Linked DNA regions of Arabidopsis thaliana. The protein of the gene in region 3 interacts with the protein of the main gene of each other region in a pairwise test. Each region holds a gene or a part of one and is shown on either strand. Other genes may lie near its edges. The genes, in order: AT3G28220, AT5G03345, AT5G11870 and AT3G66654.

Region 1 (4,829 bases), on a different chromosome or scaffold from region 3:
GAACTCGGTTACCAATTTCTGTGTCTGTTTATTTTCTTACCAAGCAATCTCTATCACTCTTTTCTCCACAAAAGTAATGAATAAATAACATAATAATGTTGTATATAACATACCAAACCCGAGGCAATTACAAGACAAAAACCATTATCCTACAAATTAAAAATTCAAGACAAATAGCCAAAAACCATAATCTATATCTTGAAGCCGAGATCATAGTCAAAACCATCATCCCATCATGTTACACATAAATCCGATAATCCAAATTAAAACCATCATCCTGAACATCATAAGTTTCCCAAACCAAAAGCTTTTACACAATTAATCACTAAGTGAAATTTGTGATACTTGATTCGGACCTTGATAAGAATGAAAGTGTAATCCTTTGTATTTCTTATCTATCAATCCAATTACAAAGAATCAAAACCCTAATCGATAAGCTTGAAGTTACAGTTCTCCAATCTTATCTCCTAAGAACAGAGCACATGCATAAGCCCTAATTCTACTCACAACATCAATATGATCACGAAGGATGCTTTTCTCTCTACTCTCTCTTAGACTCTTACTATTTATAAGTTTCTTCACACGTGACTCCGATCTCTCACTTCAGTTCTCACACGTGCCAACTTCTCATGAACGTATCAGACCTTCACCAAGTTGTTTTGTGGCCGACTTTTAGCTTGGATTCCAACATTAAAAATGTCATTCTCATCATCACCTCCTCTAACATCATTTCCATCATCACAAACTCGAGCATTCTCACCATTGACGTTTTCACAAGCTCTTTTCATCATTACATTCTTCAAGAATCTATTCCTTCTCCGTAAATATAACAACCGCTTTTGTCCACTTTGCAGCTAGACACATTCTCTCGAAAATATCATCTCTAGTATACAACGGTTCAGCTCTATAAACTTCTCAAAAGGAAGCTTATACCGTATCCTTTGCCCAAACAAAGACAATCCCACCGACTCCATCATGTTATTAAAAAAATTTTCTTGCATGCACACAAGTGTGTGAATCTGGCCTCCATCATATGTAAAAACATTACCGTCTGTACAAACAAAAAAAACTATTTTTGGCGAAAAAATTATCGTCGAAATATTGTTGGTAGGAAAAACACAATTTTATTTTGTTAACTTTAAACATTAAAAAAATAAGGATATATGGTTATTAAAAATTAAAAGAGAGTAATGAAAATGAATTACATGAAAGGGTAGAATTAAAAATGAGTAGCATTGGAAGGTCATTCCTAATAATTTATTTATTATAAATTCTAGATATTTATAAAATAAAAACTCAAATATTATTATATATTATACTATAAATTAATAAAAAATATTTTCTACAAATAAAAACATTTTTTAAAAATTAATTATTAAGCATTTAATCGATAGTTTTGATACGTATATAATAAAATATAGTTTTTAGTCTTTGTATTGATTACTGAAGTTCTACATTATAGCTAAAGCTAAAGCTAAATCCAAAAACAGAGGCTAGGATCGGAACAGAAGAACAAAACTATGTTGTGGTGTAGAGCGTTTGGGTCCATTTCTTGTTGTTAGCTAAAGCTATGTCTGGAGTGTTTGACGTTACATGCTAAATTTAGGTACAACTTAAACTTTTGTCTTTTTCTTGAAAACACGTGTTGAACAAATCTTTTCTGGTCGATAACTCAAGAAATCTTATCTGGTCGCAATCCATCTTATACCGACGTGAAATCTCAAGACACGTGAATATATAACTTGTTCATAATAACATTATCACTTTTATCGAACGCACAAAAGATCCTCCGCTATAAATATTTGTGGTGAAGAACTCTTTATACCAAACAAAAAAAGCTAAATACCAAATAAATGTTGGTACTCATCATACATATATAACTAACTCACCTTTTTGGTGTGTAGATAAATATATCTAACTAACTCCATTACATATTCCAGTCATTTGCTTATAAATTATAACCGTCACACTTACCAATTCAGTCACTTAACCAAACATGTCTGAAAAGGGGTTGATAAAAAAAGAAGACCACATGTTTCAAGAGGAGAAGAGAAAGACAAACTATGGAGCAATTGGCTTGGCTTGCTTCATTTCTTGTTTCTTTGCATTCCAATTCATGAAAATCGTAACAACACAACCTTCAACAACAACAACATCATCCATTGCCGTTATCGATAGCCCAATGTCCTCCCATAAGCTATCTGATAGGAGAGAAATATGGAGAGTTATCCCACCATCTACCTATTGTCTCAAAATCGAATCTTTCATAAAATTCGCCACTTCTCCAAACGCCGAGAAGTACGAATCCCGTCCTTTTGAATCCGGTGGATACAACTGGTAAGTAGTATTTTATCCTACATTTTGCATATGTCTTTGCATCACAAATTTTCAACGACACATTTGATTGTAAGACTATATATCCTTTTGCAAACAGGACACTTATTGTCTATCCTAAAGGAAACATTAAGGAAGGAGCTCCACTTAATTACGTTTCAATGTACGTCCAAATAGACAATTCAACACTCCTTAACTCTCCAAAAGAAGTTTACGCAGAAGTCAAATTCTTCATTTATAACCGGAAAGAGGACAAGTACTTAACATATCAAGGTATATACATCCGAACGCCCTATTTATATCTTATTTATAAACTATATTGTATTAATCAAATTTTCAACGTTTAAATTTAAAACAATTGAGACGCTGATAGTTTGCATAGTTTCAAATGCCAAAATTTGCATTTAAAAACACACAATCTCAAACGCATGTCTTGGTACACAGAGACGGATGCAAAACGCTTTTTTCTGTTCAAACCATATTGGGGATATGGTAATGTTAGACCCTACACCGACGTGGCTAATCCCAATGCTGGTTGGCTTTTCGACGGTGACAATGTTTTATTCGGTGTGGACGTATTTGTCACTGAAGTTTTTAACAAATGGGAAGTGTTCTCATTCACTAAGAGTTTGCATGACCGCCTTTACAAATGGACGTTACCCAATTTCTCGTCACTAGAGAAACAGTACTATGTCTCTGACAAGTTCGTGATCGGTGGGAGAAGCTGGTGAGTTCCTCATGTCATAAATTCTTTAAGCCACATATTGATACTTAGTCCTGGATGTTCGGTTATCCATTCCGTTATCGGTTTTTTCGGTTCTAAAGTTATTATCTATTTGGTTATTTTGAAATTTCGGTTTGGTTCTTTCGGTTTTAAATTTAGTATCCATTCCGTTATTTTGATTTGAATATTTTCGGATATTTTAATTATTTTTGGATATTTCGGTTATTTTTGGATATTTTTGATTATTTTTGAATATTTTAACTATTTTATATATATTTTTAATTATTTAGTTTAAAAATAACTAATATTTTTAATTATTTAGTTTAAAAATAACTAATATTTTTGGAAATATATTTATATTTCAGATATTTTGGTTATCCGGGATATTTTGGTACGTAGCCATTTAGTTTCGGTTCTTTCGGTTCTTTCGGTTATATATAGAATTTAGTATCCATTTGATTATTTTTTAATTTTTGATTCCGTTCGATTCTGTTATTTTGTTTCGATTTTAGTTCGGTACATTCGATTAGGTTTATTTGCGCAGGCTTACTAATACTGATTCAAGAAAAAATTAACTATTTACAATATTTTAATATACAACTCTTAGGGCTTTGAAAGTGTATCCAAGTGGCGATGGCGAAGGACAGGGTAACTCGTTGTCGTTATATGTTGTTGCGGTTGATGTTAAGCCGTATGACAAGATTTACCTAAAAGCTAAGCTACGGATTATAAACCAGAGAGATTCTAAACACATGGAGAAGAAAGGTAAATTATATCGAACCATAATAGTGTGGCTAATGTTACTTACTCTATTAATTTTTTTCTTTTAGAGTTTAATTAACACTAACTTAATGACAGTTGAAAGCTGGTCGGATCAAGCAAACAGTTGGGGATTCCAGAAGTTTGTACCATTTGCTGATCTTAAGGATACTTCTAAAGGTCTTCTTGTGAATGATACATTGAAGATGGAGATTGAATTTGAAGATTTCTCTAACACAAAATACTTTCCAAGTTAAGTTTTGCATAATGCAAAACCAGAGAGCTTGGAACCAATTGTGTTCTGTTTTTTAAGTGTTTTTGTGCTAATAATTGGAGGATTGGTCTTCCTAAGGTTTAGGAGCCTATCTCCCACTTTTCCCAATTCCCTAGTTTGTAGAAATCGTTGATTCCAAGCTAGCTTTTCTTGTACTTGTTTCCTATTTAAATAAATGAAAACTAAGAATAAAAGCAGTCTTAATTTACCATTGAAAAACTCTTGTTCTTACTTCATTCTAGCTGCGACTAAGACTAACACTAACCGTGGAATAACACTTCTAAAATCAACCGAATAAGTTTGCGCGTATGATAGTAATTTGAAATAATAACAAGCTTTGCGCACCAACAATAAACATCGATCATGTTCTTAAGTTTCACGAGTGCTTCTTTGTTATTTGCTCTCTTTCATCTGTTTGTTACTCTATTATTTCTCTGGTTATGTAGTGTATATAATACATATAGATCTACCAAGCAATTCATAATGTATAATATATCTGCCATGTATACTCTATGTAAATTAAGCTATGTAACCAATCCATACTCTTCTTTCATTGTATTTTTAACAATCATCAATAAGCAAATCAAAATTACCAATATCTAATACAACTCGTTCCTTTTAGGAAATAAATAAGAAGCAAAGAAAATACTCTCTACTAGTTGATGAAGGCTTGGAAGGGAGATGACAAAACGTACGTAGCAAATCAAAGAGGAAAATCCAACCCTATCCACACAGTTT
Region 2 (4,030 bases), 3.0 Mb from region 3:
GGATTAATATCAACTCTGTTACTTCCGTTGTTGCTGAGAAAGCTGGTTATTGGGTTCAGACAGGAATTGGGAAAATGAAACACTGGTCGTTTAAAGAGTTCAAGCTGAGTAATGGAGAGAGGTACAAGGCTTGGATTGAGTATAGAAACTCCAAGGTTACAGTTACTCTCGCGCCAGAAACCGTTAAGAAACCTAAGAAGCCTTTGATCGTTGCCCATTTAGATCTCTCTAAGGTTTTTCTTCAAAATATGTACCCCGGTTTTTCTGGTGCCATGGGCCGTGGCGTTGAACGTCATGACATTTGGAGTTGGACCTTCCAGAACAGTGCCAAGAGAATCTAAACCGGTTCTGTTCGGTTATGCTTTTTCTAATGTATCAGAAAGTTGTAACCGGAATGAATAAAATAGCAAATTTTGTTGTTTTAATTGTTTGTATTTGACTATTTACACAGTATCCTATCCTGCTAGGACCTGTGCACTTGTTGTTATGTTGATTCTTCATTCTAAAAGATTCTAAGTAGAGACCTGACACACAGAAACATCACAAGACTCGTTTCAAGAATCAAAAATTGATGCAAAGCAGAGTAGTTACTTAGAGTAGAATTTCAATGGAAACATCTCATAACATTACACAGATCAGTGTTTGACTAAGCAGTGTGATAAAAATTCAAAACTTCATGTCGATCTGCGGTGGGAACAGTCTGCCACGGTGATTGAATATCATGAAATCCGAATTATCTGGTAAAAACACCGCCCTGCAAATTTTTTGAAAGAAACCAGTTAACAGGAGATATTCACTTTATCTAGCAAAAGCCAAACTCAAAACCAATTCAAGAACCTAATGTACAAAAAGGTAGGGGAGAGGCTGCGACATAGAAGGAACCAAAGTGGGTCTAAAGAGCCAATGAAACAAATATAAACTGATTGAATTAGCCAGGAGCAGAACTGGTTAAAGCTCTTGAAACCCATAATCGTAACTGGACCAAATATAAACTAGAAAATGTCCCTTTGAATGTCCTGCATTTTAGAAAACCTTAGCTGCACAAAGTATTAAAGAAACATCAATGTTTGACCTAGAACATCTCTAGACGACAGTTTCTTATCAATAAACATGAGTCTTTGGTGGTCATTCAATCATCGGGAAATATAATAACTACCAAATTTCCATGTTTCAGATTGATAAACACTGATGCACAACAGAGAGTTAAAGAGACATCAAAACTAGACCCTCGAAACATCTCTAGAGCACAAGTTCTTTGAATCAATTGATTAACAACACATCCGTAAACCTTCTCAGTCAAAAGAAAACATATTCACTAGAAACACCCATGATTAAACTGAATAATTGAACCAAATCTAGCCAGAAGATGCTTCTATAAGACCCGTAGTAACTCTACACCAAGTTCAACAAAGTACGAACAGAGAAAAATTCAATAGTAAAAACACTCACTAGATAACATGAATTCAGATTGATTAACACTGATGCAAAACAGAGAGTTCGAGAGAAACATGATCACAAACCTGTTTTCATCAGAATCCGGATGGATCGAGAGAAATTTACCAGGGAAAGTCAAAGCAGCCCACATACACAGAGCTAGTCCAATGATCAACTCCAGAATAACCTTAAATAAATCCAATCATGATTCATATAAAAGCATAATCATTGCTGATATAATTCAAACACAATTGAGGAAAAGAGAAACCGTTATCATTATATACTCACATTAATCGGTGGTCGAGAAAACTCTTCCTCCATAATCTTCAACAATCCTCTATCTGAAATAAACAAGAGAAACCCAAATCAAGATCCTATCTCGAAAATTAAAGTAGATCTGACTCAATTGGAACTGGAATTGGATTGGGAAGAGTAGACATACATTGGATTGTTGAATAAGCGGCATGAGAAAGAATAAGAACGCCGAAAACTCCAACTAAGAACCCCAAATTCATCTTTAGAAGTTCTCTTTTTTAATTTTCTTCTTCTCTAAGTTGATTCCCGATCTGGATTTTCTCGTCGAGTATTCTCCGTCGAGAATCGAACTAGAATAGAAGACGATCAGTGGAGTTTAAAACGGCATGTAGTTATAATATCGCAAATCTCAAAGTGAAAACGGCGCAACGTCTAATATCGAAGAGACTAACAACGGCGCGTAGTTCTAGATTGATGATATCCTAGATTCCTATTAATCTTTTGTAACCCAAACTTTTTTTTAAGTAACTAATATTTTTAATTAGATGAAAGTTCAGTTAGTTTGATAACTTTTTTACAACAATAAGGGTTTATCTTTTGGGAAAATAATTATTTTTTCGTATAATAAATAATTATGAATATTTATTTAGAATTTCATATTGATGATATATTCATATGCAAACAAAAATTTCTGCAATTATTGAATTGAATCGTATGTTGATAACTTCGTATAAAAAAAACGGAAATCTATTTTAGAACAAAGAAATCAAATGGTAAGATATTAAATTTCTATTTATAAAAAAGTAAGAAAAACATGTAGCTTGCTTTGGTACCGCTACCTAAGAACCTTCTATTCCTTTCTTGTGTTTGCTAAAACCAGAAAGTAAAACTGTTATCCTCACCTCTCTTTTACTTTTATTTTCAACTTTCCCCCATAACGTTTTTAATAAACATTTACGTACCCTCGCCACACTATTAAAATAAGTTTAAAATTACATCAAATTTTTTAATTCTTCATATAGGTAGATTTTTGTTTTGATTCTCGATAAATCATATAATAATATAAATTAATTGATATGATGTTAAGGGAACATGGGTGTATTTATCACAACACCTAGTTTTTGGAACTTTTCAAGATAAACTTAAAAGTTAAGGGTCGCTTATTTTTCCAACAAGAAGGAAATCACAGAGCGTATAAAATCCCGAGTTCAGCTCCCTTGAGATCCCATTCATCATCATCATCATCATCACCAATCGATCTCTCTAGAAACAAATTTCCCAACTTCCTTCTTAGAGCTCTCTTGTCAGTTTAAGCTATCATTATGTCAAACGAACCGGAATCCTCCGACTCGTAAGTACTTAGATCTTTGATTTTTGTTTTCCGATCATAAAGTTTCGATTTTTTTACTTGGGTTTTTCGATATTGAGAATAGGGTTTTTTAGTTTGATCTCATCTGAAAGCTGATTTTGTTTGTCTTCCTGGGGTATTTGTTTCAGGAAAACTAAGAAGGATTTCAGTACTGCGATTCTAGAGAGGAAGAAGTCTCCAAACCGACTTGTTGTCGATGAAGCTATTAACGATGACAACTCTGTTGTCTCTCTCCATCCTACTACCATGGAAAAACTCCAGCTTTTCCGAGGCGATACAATTCTCATCAAGGTTAGGTTTTGTTCCTTATGTCACTATGTTAGGGTGTTTTGAGTTTAGACTTGGTTTGGATCGTCTGTGTCTTGACTGTATATCACGAGCATGTTGTAAACATATTCAGTTATGTTTTTTACTTTGTCTGATCTTGTAAACATATTCAGTTAGGGTACAACTTTTTTGTCTGAAGTTTTTTTTTTTGAGTTTAGAATTGGTTTGGATTGTTCTTTTTATCTCTGTGATTACTTACTTGATTGGGGTTTTGGATTTTCAGGGTAAGAAGAGGAAGGACACTGTATGCATTGCCCTCGCTGATGAAACATGTGAGGAACCCAAGATCAGAATGAATAAGGTTGTAAGGTCTAACTTGAGGGTTAGGCTGGGAGATGTTATTTCTGTTCACCAATGCCCAGATGTCAAGTATGGAAAGCGTGTTCACATCTTGCCTGTTGATGATACAGTTGAAGGCGTTACTGGAAACCTCTTTGATGCTTACCTGAAACGTAAGTTTGCTTTAATCTTTTGATTCTCTCTTTCATATCATAGTCTAGCTTGTCTTTTGGAGTTCGTGTTTTCTAAACTTATATTGTTTTTTTCACCAGCTTACTTTCTGGAGGCGTACCGTCCAGTGAGGAAGGGAGATCTTTTCCTAGTGAGAGGAGGAATGAGGAGTGTGGAGTTCAAAGTGATCGAGAC
Region 3 (4,484 bases):
GGAATCTAATTAGTTTCTTGTATACGTTACAGGGAGCTGGTCTGGTGGTTCATGACGCTGGTGCATACTGTATGAGTATGGCTTCCACTTACAATCTCAAGATGCGTCCCCCGGAATACTGGGTAACAATACTGTTTCTTATTATCGTTTTCTGCGGAAATTTAGCGGAGGGTCAAGATCCTGAGAGAAAGTGATTGATTTATATTCTTCTTTTTGCAGGTTGAAGAAGATGGGTCGATCACTAAGATCAGGCATGCTGAGACATTCGATGACCATTTACGTTTCTTTGAAGGACTATGAACTCCGAGATTTACTCATCATTGTTGCTATTTTAGATGAATTGTATGATTACGTTTCTATAATGCTATTGCTGTCTTGGATTTTTCCACATTCTGTGCTATGATTTAAAGTCCTCAATAAAGTGATCATATGAATAAGAAACAGGTCACAAGTCAAGACCGAAAATAAAAGGTGTATTTGTGAGTTATGATTATTCTTTTGGTTTCTTTTTAGTTACTACATGTAAAATTGTCCATTGTCCAAACACATATATAAGACTTGAATAAGTAACCTTAAAGCCAAAGCTGTTTCAGAACCAGAAACCAAGATTACACCAAGCTAACGATGTTTTAGTGGGATCATGGGTCAAAATCTATCTAGCAACCAAACAAAATTTGTAATACAAGAATCCAGAAGCATCTAAATACAAGAGAAAAAAAACTTGAGGAGTCAGTAATGAATGTCAAGGACGGCCTTTGAGATCACCTAATCTGTTTTAGTTTCCATCATACAAAAGAAAAGTGAAAAATCCTCTCAGGTTTCAAGGAACTCAAAGATCAAAGAGAAAGAGTCAGTGAAAAAACGTTACCTATTAAACCGAATGCTTCTATACAAAAGCATAATGGTAAGTAAAAGCGTAGCCACGGCAGAACACAAATGCTCCAGTGAATGCCCACTGATGATATATCGATTTGCATTGTATATTTTGTTGTCTGCAAGTCCTTCAATCTTGGCAATAGTGTACGCCGCTGCATTCATGATAAGCAGATATCAGAAGACCGTGGATTCTAATAAGAAAACCGCAAATGTGGTTTTGAGTTAAAAACCTGTTGCCCAGAGCCAGAATCTAGAGTGTGTATATTTGGGAGGTAACAAAACCGCCATGACGGGAATCACCAGACACGGTATCAACTGGAACGTCATGCATAACCGGAGATCATTAAACACTCTGCCATCAACTAAGACACATATAATTTCAATCCGAAACCTGACTAAAACCATGAACATATATGTATACAGAGGAGGTAATGCTTTCTTGGTTTTAATGTTACCTGGCGTAAGCAACACTGAGACATGATATAAATAGAAGCAAGATGAGGCAACTAAGTCCCACTTTCTCCCCCGCTCTCTCAACCAAAAAACTAGAGAAAAGCGACGAATACGCAATCAATATCTGCAATTTACCGTCATTAATCAACAAACAGCTATTCATAAACCAACCATCAAAAATGATGAGCAAAAACAACTTTCCATTCAATAAAACCAAAAACCACAACTCTACACCCGAAAAATCTCTAAAGCTTCTTTCCATTAGCTATAAGAGTTGTGTTCACTTCACTATGTGCTTGTAGAACCAACCAATCCAAGAAAAACCATGAAGTCTAATCTAAGCTTTTTTACATAGCTATAAGATGATTCTTCAACTTTTTGTATTCACAATGTGCTTGTCAATATATACAATTACCGCATCACTAATCAAGAAGCAATGAATGCATAACTGAAAGAAGATTCATGTTCCGAAGAAAAGTAAAGTGAGAAAAACGAACAGGCAAAGTGTCCCAGACGATTCTGTTGTCATCAGGTTTGAGATGATAAAAAGCAGAACCAAAAGCCAAGCTTGCAATGCCTGCGTAGAACAGTGTCCATCCCCAGATCTCACCATTTAAACTGCATTACAACAACTCAAATTGTTAAACTAACTCAAAATAAAACTCAAAAAAGGGAAAGAGAATGATACCTTATGTTGAAGAAGCTTCCTCCAATGCAAAGAACAAAACCAAGAACTCCAACGATAAGAAAGGGAAAGTTGGTCATCACATTCAATGTATTAGGCACTCCTGTTCATCATCAAACCCACACAAAACACCTGTCTCTCGTTATTACACATGCACAGAGACAGAGAGAGATAAAAAAAAAAGAAGAGAGAGTGTGATATGATGATGATACCCATGAAATTGCGTTTATCGGCGAAGATATGATGGCGAAATGAATCGAGAGGAACTTTGGGAGTGATGAACATGATGATTGACCAACAGAGGAACGATCCCACAACCAAAATTCGTTTCCTTTTCCATCTCCCTATCTGTTGATTCGTCAACCACACCATTAAAAGTTCTCTCTATAAAGGTGAAGACTTTAAAGGTTTGTATTGTTTGAAGTGGATAAATCAGTTATCTCTGTTGTGTCTGATTGATTAATCTTCTTCCAGTTTAAGAAAGAAAAGGGAAGACAGATTTATTGAGAGTCGCTTTTTTCGATTAGAACAACGTGCGGCGGAATCTCTTTTTTTCTTTTTCCTTGAGTCTGACGGGTACGACGACGACGATCGATCTCTAATGTTGTCGTAGTTGACGAGGACCGCTCTAAACGTCTACGTTTTGTTTCTATTCTATTTTATTTGTAAAGTAACCCCTTACATTTTTATATCTTATATATATCCCACCCCATGTTTCTGAAAGTAATATTTTCACTCCTATATATATGTACAACGTTTCAAAACTTGGCGGGAGTGGTTTTAGTTAACTGTTTCCTGGTTAGTGTTTCTAGGAGAAGGAAAAGTTAACTAAGAAAATTGCTAAATTATATATCCTTGATGTGTTGTTGTAGTTCTTAGAAGTAACCCACATAGATAGCCATGTATGAAACAAAAACAAAAATGGGATTAACATGAGACAAAGTTCAAAAGAGAATGAACTAAGAGTCTAAATGCTCTTTATGCTACAAAGTATTCAAGAAAACGAAAGAGTATAAGAGAAAGATGGGGAAGAAGATGAAACAATCATATGTATTCTCAAATTACAAACATATATTCTAAAGCTCAAATTGGGAACGTAAATATATCAATGTTGTTTTAAGCCATCATGTCCTCTCTGAATCATCCATTGTGCCATGCTTGAATACAAGTTTGATGTTGTTCATTTCTTTGAATAATATTGGCAGGTTGAGTGTTTTTCAGTTTGTGTTGGATCAAATTGTCTTTTATTTGGATTTCGTCGTAAACATAATCAGCAGAACACGTCATTCATGTCATACCTCTTAATCTTTTATGTGTTTGGTAATAAATCTGCATAATCATGACATGAAACAACATTCCACAATTCTATATAGCATTCTAGCTATAACCAATGAAAAATAGATCATCCTATATATAGTAGTACTAAACAAAGATTATTCTAAACCAACTTAACTTGTAACATCAAATCTAATCAAGTCACATAATCTTGTATAATTTCATTTTTCAAAGAAAATATTCAAAAGTCTTCAAAACGTTTTTTTTATTCCAATAATCCATAACATGCATGTTCAATTTGTAAAAAACAGAAGGTTCCTTTTTAAGAAAAAGACACTTCTCTAGTTCTCTACGGCATCGTTGTACTATCCTCCAACCGGAGATGACGTCATCATTTACCGGCCTAATACTCTTCGAATGTTTGGGGTTTAGTTTAACAAATCAAAAACTATCGAGGTTACTAATGAAATATTAATAAAGTATGAGGGCATTTAAATGAAATATTTCATTGCTTATGTAGACTATAGTCGTCTGTCATTCATTTCGAGCAAATATTTTACTCTTTTATTTCGAAGAGAGAGAGAGAAGAAGACGGAAGCTAGAAGAAATCGTTTTTGATCGGAGGTACTTTTTTCCGACGAATATACTCTCTCTAGGGTTTTCTTTTTTCTCTCTCTCCCTCTCCGTTTCTTCTTCTTAGCTCTTCAATCTCAGCTCGAATTTCTGGGCTACTGAAGTTTAATCTAGGTGTGCGCTTCGTTGAAGAAATTTTGAAATTTGCAGAGAAATTTGCGGAGAAAGCGGAAAGATTAGATTTATCCATCGTTTATCCCAGTAAAAAGCTTTGATTTTTCCACATGTCTTTTTTCCCCCCTTTTTTCGTATTAAAAGCCCTAGATATATATATCAAAATTGAAAATTATCTGAAATCGATTTCGTGGGTTTCAGTTCCGGTTCGGTTCTCTTTCTTAAAATATTGATTTCTGTCACTTTCCGCGATGAAAAGTTTTCGAATTTTGCTTCTTTTGGCTCCAAAGTTTTTATCTTTCAAATATTTTAAATCTGGGTACTTTTTTGTTTTGGTTCCTTCTTTGTGAATTGTATCTAGGGCTTTGCTCCTTTTCTAATCCAAGATCTGTTTTCGTTCTCAGATAGTGTATGAGCTAGTTGTTTGTAATTTGACGGCTCTCGGGAA
Region 4 (4,824 bases), on a different chromosome or scaffold from region 3:
CCAAATATTACTATGAAGATTTTCTCTTTTCAAAAACAATGAATTATAACAATATCTCCTACTCTACAAAATTGATAATGATTACGATATGAAATTTTAAAGCGTTATTTGTTTTTTTTTCTCTTATATTATTATAGATTTTGTCTACACACTCTAGATATTTATCTTTAATTAGAAAAAAATACATAAGAGTACACCAACTAATTAACATATTTATAAATGTGTTTTTAACATTTTTAAGTTTTAGTCAAAATAGTATCAAAATACATAATTTGATGTATGTCCTATATATCTTATTCCAAATTATTAAATATTACCTAAAACAAAAATACAGTATTTTTGTAATTGTATTCTATGAATAATTTAAGAATTCCTTAAGAATTGTTTAAGAATTATTTTAGAGTTTTTAAAAGAAATCTTGTAGAGATTTTTAAGAATTCTTAAAGGATTTGTTTCTGGTTTTTCAGATTGTTCTCCATATCTTCTCATATAAATTTTAAAAGACCTCTCTTTTTCTCTAATAGTTTTATGGTACTTAACGGGTATAATACAGAAGTTTTTCTATCATAACAGGATAAAATTCTCTAAAATCAGTTCATGTATTTGCTCAAGTATCAGAAGCATAATTAAACAAAGATTCTATTTCCTCGAGAAAAATCAAATAAAATTACAAAACAACAAGAAACTGTAAAATAGAAAGAAAGAAAAAACCTCAAAAGAGGATTTATACAAAAGAGCGAGTATGAAGAAGGATTTGGCGTGAGCCTCATTTACAGAGGAAGCAAGGAAGAGAAATTTTCATTTCATGTCTCTAGTTTCAGTACAACACCAGTGATCCCTATTGGCGATTTCGGTTGGAAATGCTCATCCGTATCCACTTCTTCGATCTCCTGTAATAATATGATTTAATCTTTTAACACATGAAACTATTAAACAAACCATTCAAGCTGATAGACTGTGCTTAGTTGGATCAAACCTGTACTACATCCTCTCCCTTAAGGACTCTTCCAAACACTATAAGTTGATCATTCAGATCCGGGATTGGGGCCGTTGTGATCAGAAGCTCAAAATCCTTGTTGTTCCCTTTGTTTTTTGGTGTTCCCAACATGAATGCCTCATGTTTTGGGCTGTAACAGAACATATGTAGTTTTTTATTTTTTAAAACCAGCGAGAGATGATAAACATTGACACTTAAAAGCCAAAAGCAGAGCAAGCAAGTTATACCCAATGTGAAGGCGACCTCTGAGCTTTCCTTTAGCTGTCCATTCTTCTACAGGTATAGAGCTCGGTGAGTGACCAGCTTGTACCAAGTAGTTCTTTATAACCCGCTGAAACGGCATTCCCTTGAAGTGATCTTTTTGACTGCAACAATACTCAATGTTCAACTTCTACTATTATATTAAGCTACAATATCGTCACAGACTGATTCAGCCCATTTCTCTTTAATGAGGTTTCATGTTCCAAACAAAAATTCCAAGAAGAGTACAAGAGGACTTAAGGATCAAAATCAGTCAATCAAGAAACTAAAGCTACTTGAATCCTATCAAGCTAGAAGTAATACTCCTATTTAAGAACAAGTCATGACCTAGCTTAATCAAATTACTCTACTGTTCTTTTTCTATCTAACTTAAAGGAAAACAAACGAATTCCAATACTAACCATAGATCTAGAAACTTGTCCACAACTTCAGGGGAACCTTCTTTGAAGAGTTCGACAGTTATAAGTCCTTTTGATGTGTTTATATCCTACATGAGATAGGAAAATAGAAGCAAGATATCATTAAAATCAATATTCAGATAAGACACATCACATTTTTTTTACTTCAAAAACTGATGAACAGAACATAATACCATGATGAGAAATAAGAACAAGGATTAAAACAAGAAACTTAAGCAAGCAAACAGGGAGATTAACTTACAGCAAAACCAGGAAGATCGTAAGTTTTTTGCCCTGACGCAGTATTAGTGTCCTGAAGCAGAAACCAAAGCCAGATCACATATGGTAAATACCCTAAACTCTAAACCTAAGTGCTCGGAAGTTCATCAGGATCAAAACTCAAAAGCTATACATTAAAAAATCTCTCAAGAAAATACCTCAAATCTCTGACTCCGAGTTTCATGTTCAATTGTGTTTCTTGACCTAGGAGATATAACCAATGATATCCTTTTTAGTTTATAGATAATCACATAAAGTAAAAGGAGAATCTACTATAACAGAAGTAATGAAAAAGGAACAATTCAAAGATGAAAACAAACCTTTGGGACCAATGGCGATAGGTTGTGACCAACGATAATATGACTACAGCAACTACAAGATTACAGACAATAATAGTGGAAATACTTATGCGACTTGGACCCTTCTTCTTCTTGCTTTGATTTAGAAGAGCCTGCGGTTTTATCTTCGCCATTGCACCTTAGTTTCGCAGAAAGCAAACGAGGGATACAACTTGTCTCTGCAAACCATAAATCAACAGTAAGTGACAAGCAATCCAGAAAACAAGTATACACTACACAAAAACTCCAAATTCGTATCTGTAAGACTATAATTCAATTTCAAGTTGGTAAAATCAAAACTGCAATAAGATTAAGTTGTTACCCAACTGAAGAAACCCTGATATCACGTATTGACCAGATTAAAAATCTAGCATATTTGAATGAATAAACGCATGTGAAAATATCACAAGGGTTCATACATAGCTTGACCGGTAACTTCCGATACACCAGATCCAGTACTTTTCCAATTATCGATCAAATTGAAATAAATTGAACAAAAGTGGATATGAGAAACGGAGCAGCTTATCATGTTCCAATCAAATAATAAACAGATCTTTCTTTCTATAGAAATCCAAAGACCTGAAAGTAAAATCAAATGAATTCCAAGGACTTTGATTGCTTCATTGGGTTCTCGAAAAACGTACCTGGAAGTTAGAGAGAAGAGAGGAATCGTGGAGATTGGTCGTTGCGTCGATGGAAACTGGTTTGAATTCTCTGCTCTCTTTTCTCTTTTGCAGAGACGCTTCAGATCAGCCGCGTGTTTATCCGACGGCTACGAGTCCACCTCACCAATATCCGACGAATATTATTCCACAAACAAAAATACAAAAGTTGATCATTTTTGAAAAATCGTATAGTTCGGTCTGGTTTTCTCATGAAATTATCTGGTTATCTATTTGACCCAAGAAAATGATTCTAAATTCAAAAGAAAGTAATTTTACTATGGTCTAGTGGTTATCACGTTAATCATACGGTTTCCGCCCTAATTGTCACTGGTTTGATCCTTCGCTGCATCATTTGATTTTGCATTACACATACTAAACTGTAAATATAAATAAGCATTGGTAAAAAAGTCAAATTTTCTACGTAAACACTTACAAAAGGGAAAAAAAAAATGCACAAGCAAGATCACTTAAAAAAACCCAGGTCACAGTCAATTGTTCGGTTTTGTGATTTTCTTAGCCACTTTTTAATTGATCGGTTTAGATATAGCCTACCATCAATAAACCGTTATTGTGTTAACCTGAAACAAGCCATCCAATATGATCTTTTTAACTTGCACACCATCTCCTCTTTCTAACTGGCCTCTGTTGATTAGTAACATCGGCTTTAGCTCTCAGTTCAGTTTGAGATTTGAATGTCGCTTCTACCGCCAATTTGGTTCCCTTGAACCTCTCCCTCCGTTTCTCCATCTTTTTCAGACTCTCTTGTATACGTTCATTGTCTATTTCAACACCTTTCACTTCTTCTATTATCTCGCCTTCTTCTTTGTCATTTATATCTCGATTCTGCATAGCTTTCTCTTCGCTTTTGCCCATTAACTTTCTTGGTTTCTGAACATCTTGTTGCTCGATTGTATCTCCGCCATTGGAGAATCTTTTTTTTGATTGGTTAGAGACCTGAAACACACACACAAAATATCTATCACATGAGAAGGGTCTTGTTCTTCATTGTACACTAACTGATGTCTAAATATACGGATGTGAGCAACATAAAACCTAAGTATAGAAGACAGACCATATAAAGTGATAAAACAGTCAGAAATAACACAAAGAAAATCCAGGGATATAAATAACTGAAAGGCGTTTATACTTCATTCAAATATAGGTTTAAAAGCATGTAGATTTAGTTTCCCAATCTTTACCTTTCCTTGCCTACCAGCTAAGTCAACATGATCCTGACGCTTGATGAAAGCATGCCCATCTCCTCTCAGCTTCTTGGATCTGTGATGTCTTTCATCATTTTCATGAATATGGCTCTGTAAATATCCAAACCTTTGTTTGGTCGCCATCCGATTATGTGTCGGTACTCTTATGTCGCGGACAAATATCTCATCAGTATATGATGGATGCTCAGAATTAGAAACTTCTCTCATTGAACATTGCATGTCATCTGCCATATTATATCTTCCTCTATCAGGACCAACCCAATCAGCATCATACTGTAGTCTATCTTTTACGCTCACATTATGGCTACGACCAAGATTCTGCGTCCAGCCATCTCTCGGTGCAGCCTTATGAAAATGGTTATTCTGGCTGTCATATGCTTCAGGTGTTCTGAAGTCTCTGGTATCATCTCTCCGGAAATCACCTTTTGCTTCTTTGGTATACCAAGAATCTCTCAAAGATAAAGACGGTGAGGACCAACCATCTTGGATTCTATACTTATAACCATCTTCCTCTGAGACAAATCTATCAAGATGCCAATCATGAATGTAATGATGTCTTTTCTCTATTTCAGAGAATTCCTCATGTCTTTTATACCCTTGATATTCTCTCATTTCCACTTCAGCAAAAGAACGCATCTCCCTGTACGCCAGCTCAAATGGAAT

What was found.
Region 1: the proteins of AT5G11870 (region 3) and AT3G28220 interact in a protein complementation assay, tested with the Arabidopsis thaliana proteins (one large-scale study listed by BioGRID).
Region 2: the proteins of AT5G11870 (region 3) and AT5G03345 interact in a protein complementation assay, tested with the Arabidopsis thaliana proteins (one large-scale study listed by BioGRID).
Region 4: the proteins of AT5G11870 (region 3) and AT3G66654 interact in a protein complementation assay, tested with the Arabidopsis thaliana proteins (one large-scale study listed by BioGRID).

What each region holds. Positions count from the first base shown.
Region 1 is NC_003074.8:10,522,424-10,527,252, forward strand, and holds AT3G28220 (TRAF-like family protein), read left to right. Parts: upstream 1-1,757; 5' UTR 1,758-1,996; coding exon 1,997-2,337; intron 2,338-2,434; coding exon 2,435-2,607; intron 2,608-2,778; coding exon 2,779-3,061; intron 3,062-3,665; coding exon 3,666-3,823; intron 3,824-3,916; coding exon 3,917-4,074; 3' UTR 4,075-4,310; downstream 4,311-4,829. Other genes in the region: AT3G28216 (uncharacterized protein), read right to left, coding at 855-1,001.
Region 2 is NC_003076.8:812,115-816,144, reverse strand, and holds AT5G03345 (membrane magnesium transporter-like protein), read right to left. Parts: upstream 2,061-4,030; 5' UTR 1,950-2,060; coding exon 1,873-1,949; intron 1,776-1,872; coding exon of another isoform or gene 1,772-1,775; coding exon 1,723-1,771; intron 1,622-1,722; coding exon 1,430-1,621; 3' UTR 838-1,429; intron 755-837; coding exon of another isoform or gene 667-754; 3' UTR 526-666; downstream 1-525. Other genes in the region: AT5G03350 (Legume lectin family protein), read left to right, coding at 1-341; AtCDC48C (ATPase, AAA-type, CDC48 protein), read left to right, coding at 3,012-3,040, 3,187-3,349, 3,609-3,837, 3,937-4,030. UniProt on the Arabidopsis thaliana protein: Mediates Mg(2+) transport.
Region 3 is NC_003076.8:3,823,622-3,828,105, reverse strand, and holds AT5G11870 (Alkaline phytoceramidase (aPHC)), read right to left. Parts: upstream 2,687-4,484; 5' UTR 2,387-2,686; coding exon 2,227-2,386; intron 2,118-2,226; coding exon 2,018-2,117; intron 1,948-2,017; coding exon 1,827-1,947; intron 1,454-1,826; coding exon 1,332-1,453; intron 1,229-1,331; coding exon 1,107-1,228; intron 1,029-1,106; coding exon 869-1,028; coding exon of another isoform or gene 865-868; exon of another isoform or gene 771-864; coding exon 743-770; 3' UTR 533-742; downstream 1-532. Other genes in the region: AT5G11880 (Pyridoxal-dependent decarboxylase family protein), read left to right, coding at 33-122, 220-300.
Region 4 is NC_003074.8:2,086,277-2,091,100, reverse strand, and holds AT3G66654 (Cyclophilin-like peptidyl-prolyl cis-trans isomerase family protein), read right to left. Parts: upstream 3,186-4,824; 5' UTR 2,918-3,185; exon of another isoform or gene 2,453-2,917; 5' UTR 2,408-2,452; coding exon 2,256-2,407; intron 2,140-2,255; coding exon 2,094-2,139; intron 1,970-2,093; coding exon 1,919-1,969; intron 1,746-1,918; coding exon 1,660-1,745; intron 1,363-1,659; coding exon 1,225-1,362; intron 1,128-1,224; coding exon 977-1,127; intron 891-976; coding exon 804-890; 3' UTR 560-803; downstream 1-559. Other genes in the region: AT3G66652 (fip1 motif-containing protein), read right to left, coding at 3,545-3,892, 4,138-4,824. UniProt on the Arabidopsis thaliana protein: PPIases accelerate the folding of proteins. It catalyzes the cis-trans isomerization of proline imidic peptide bonds in oligopeptides.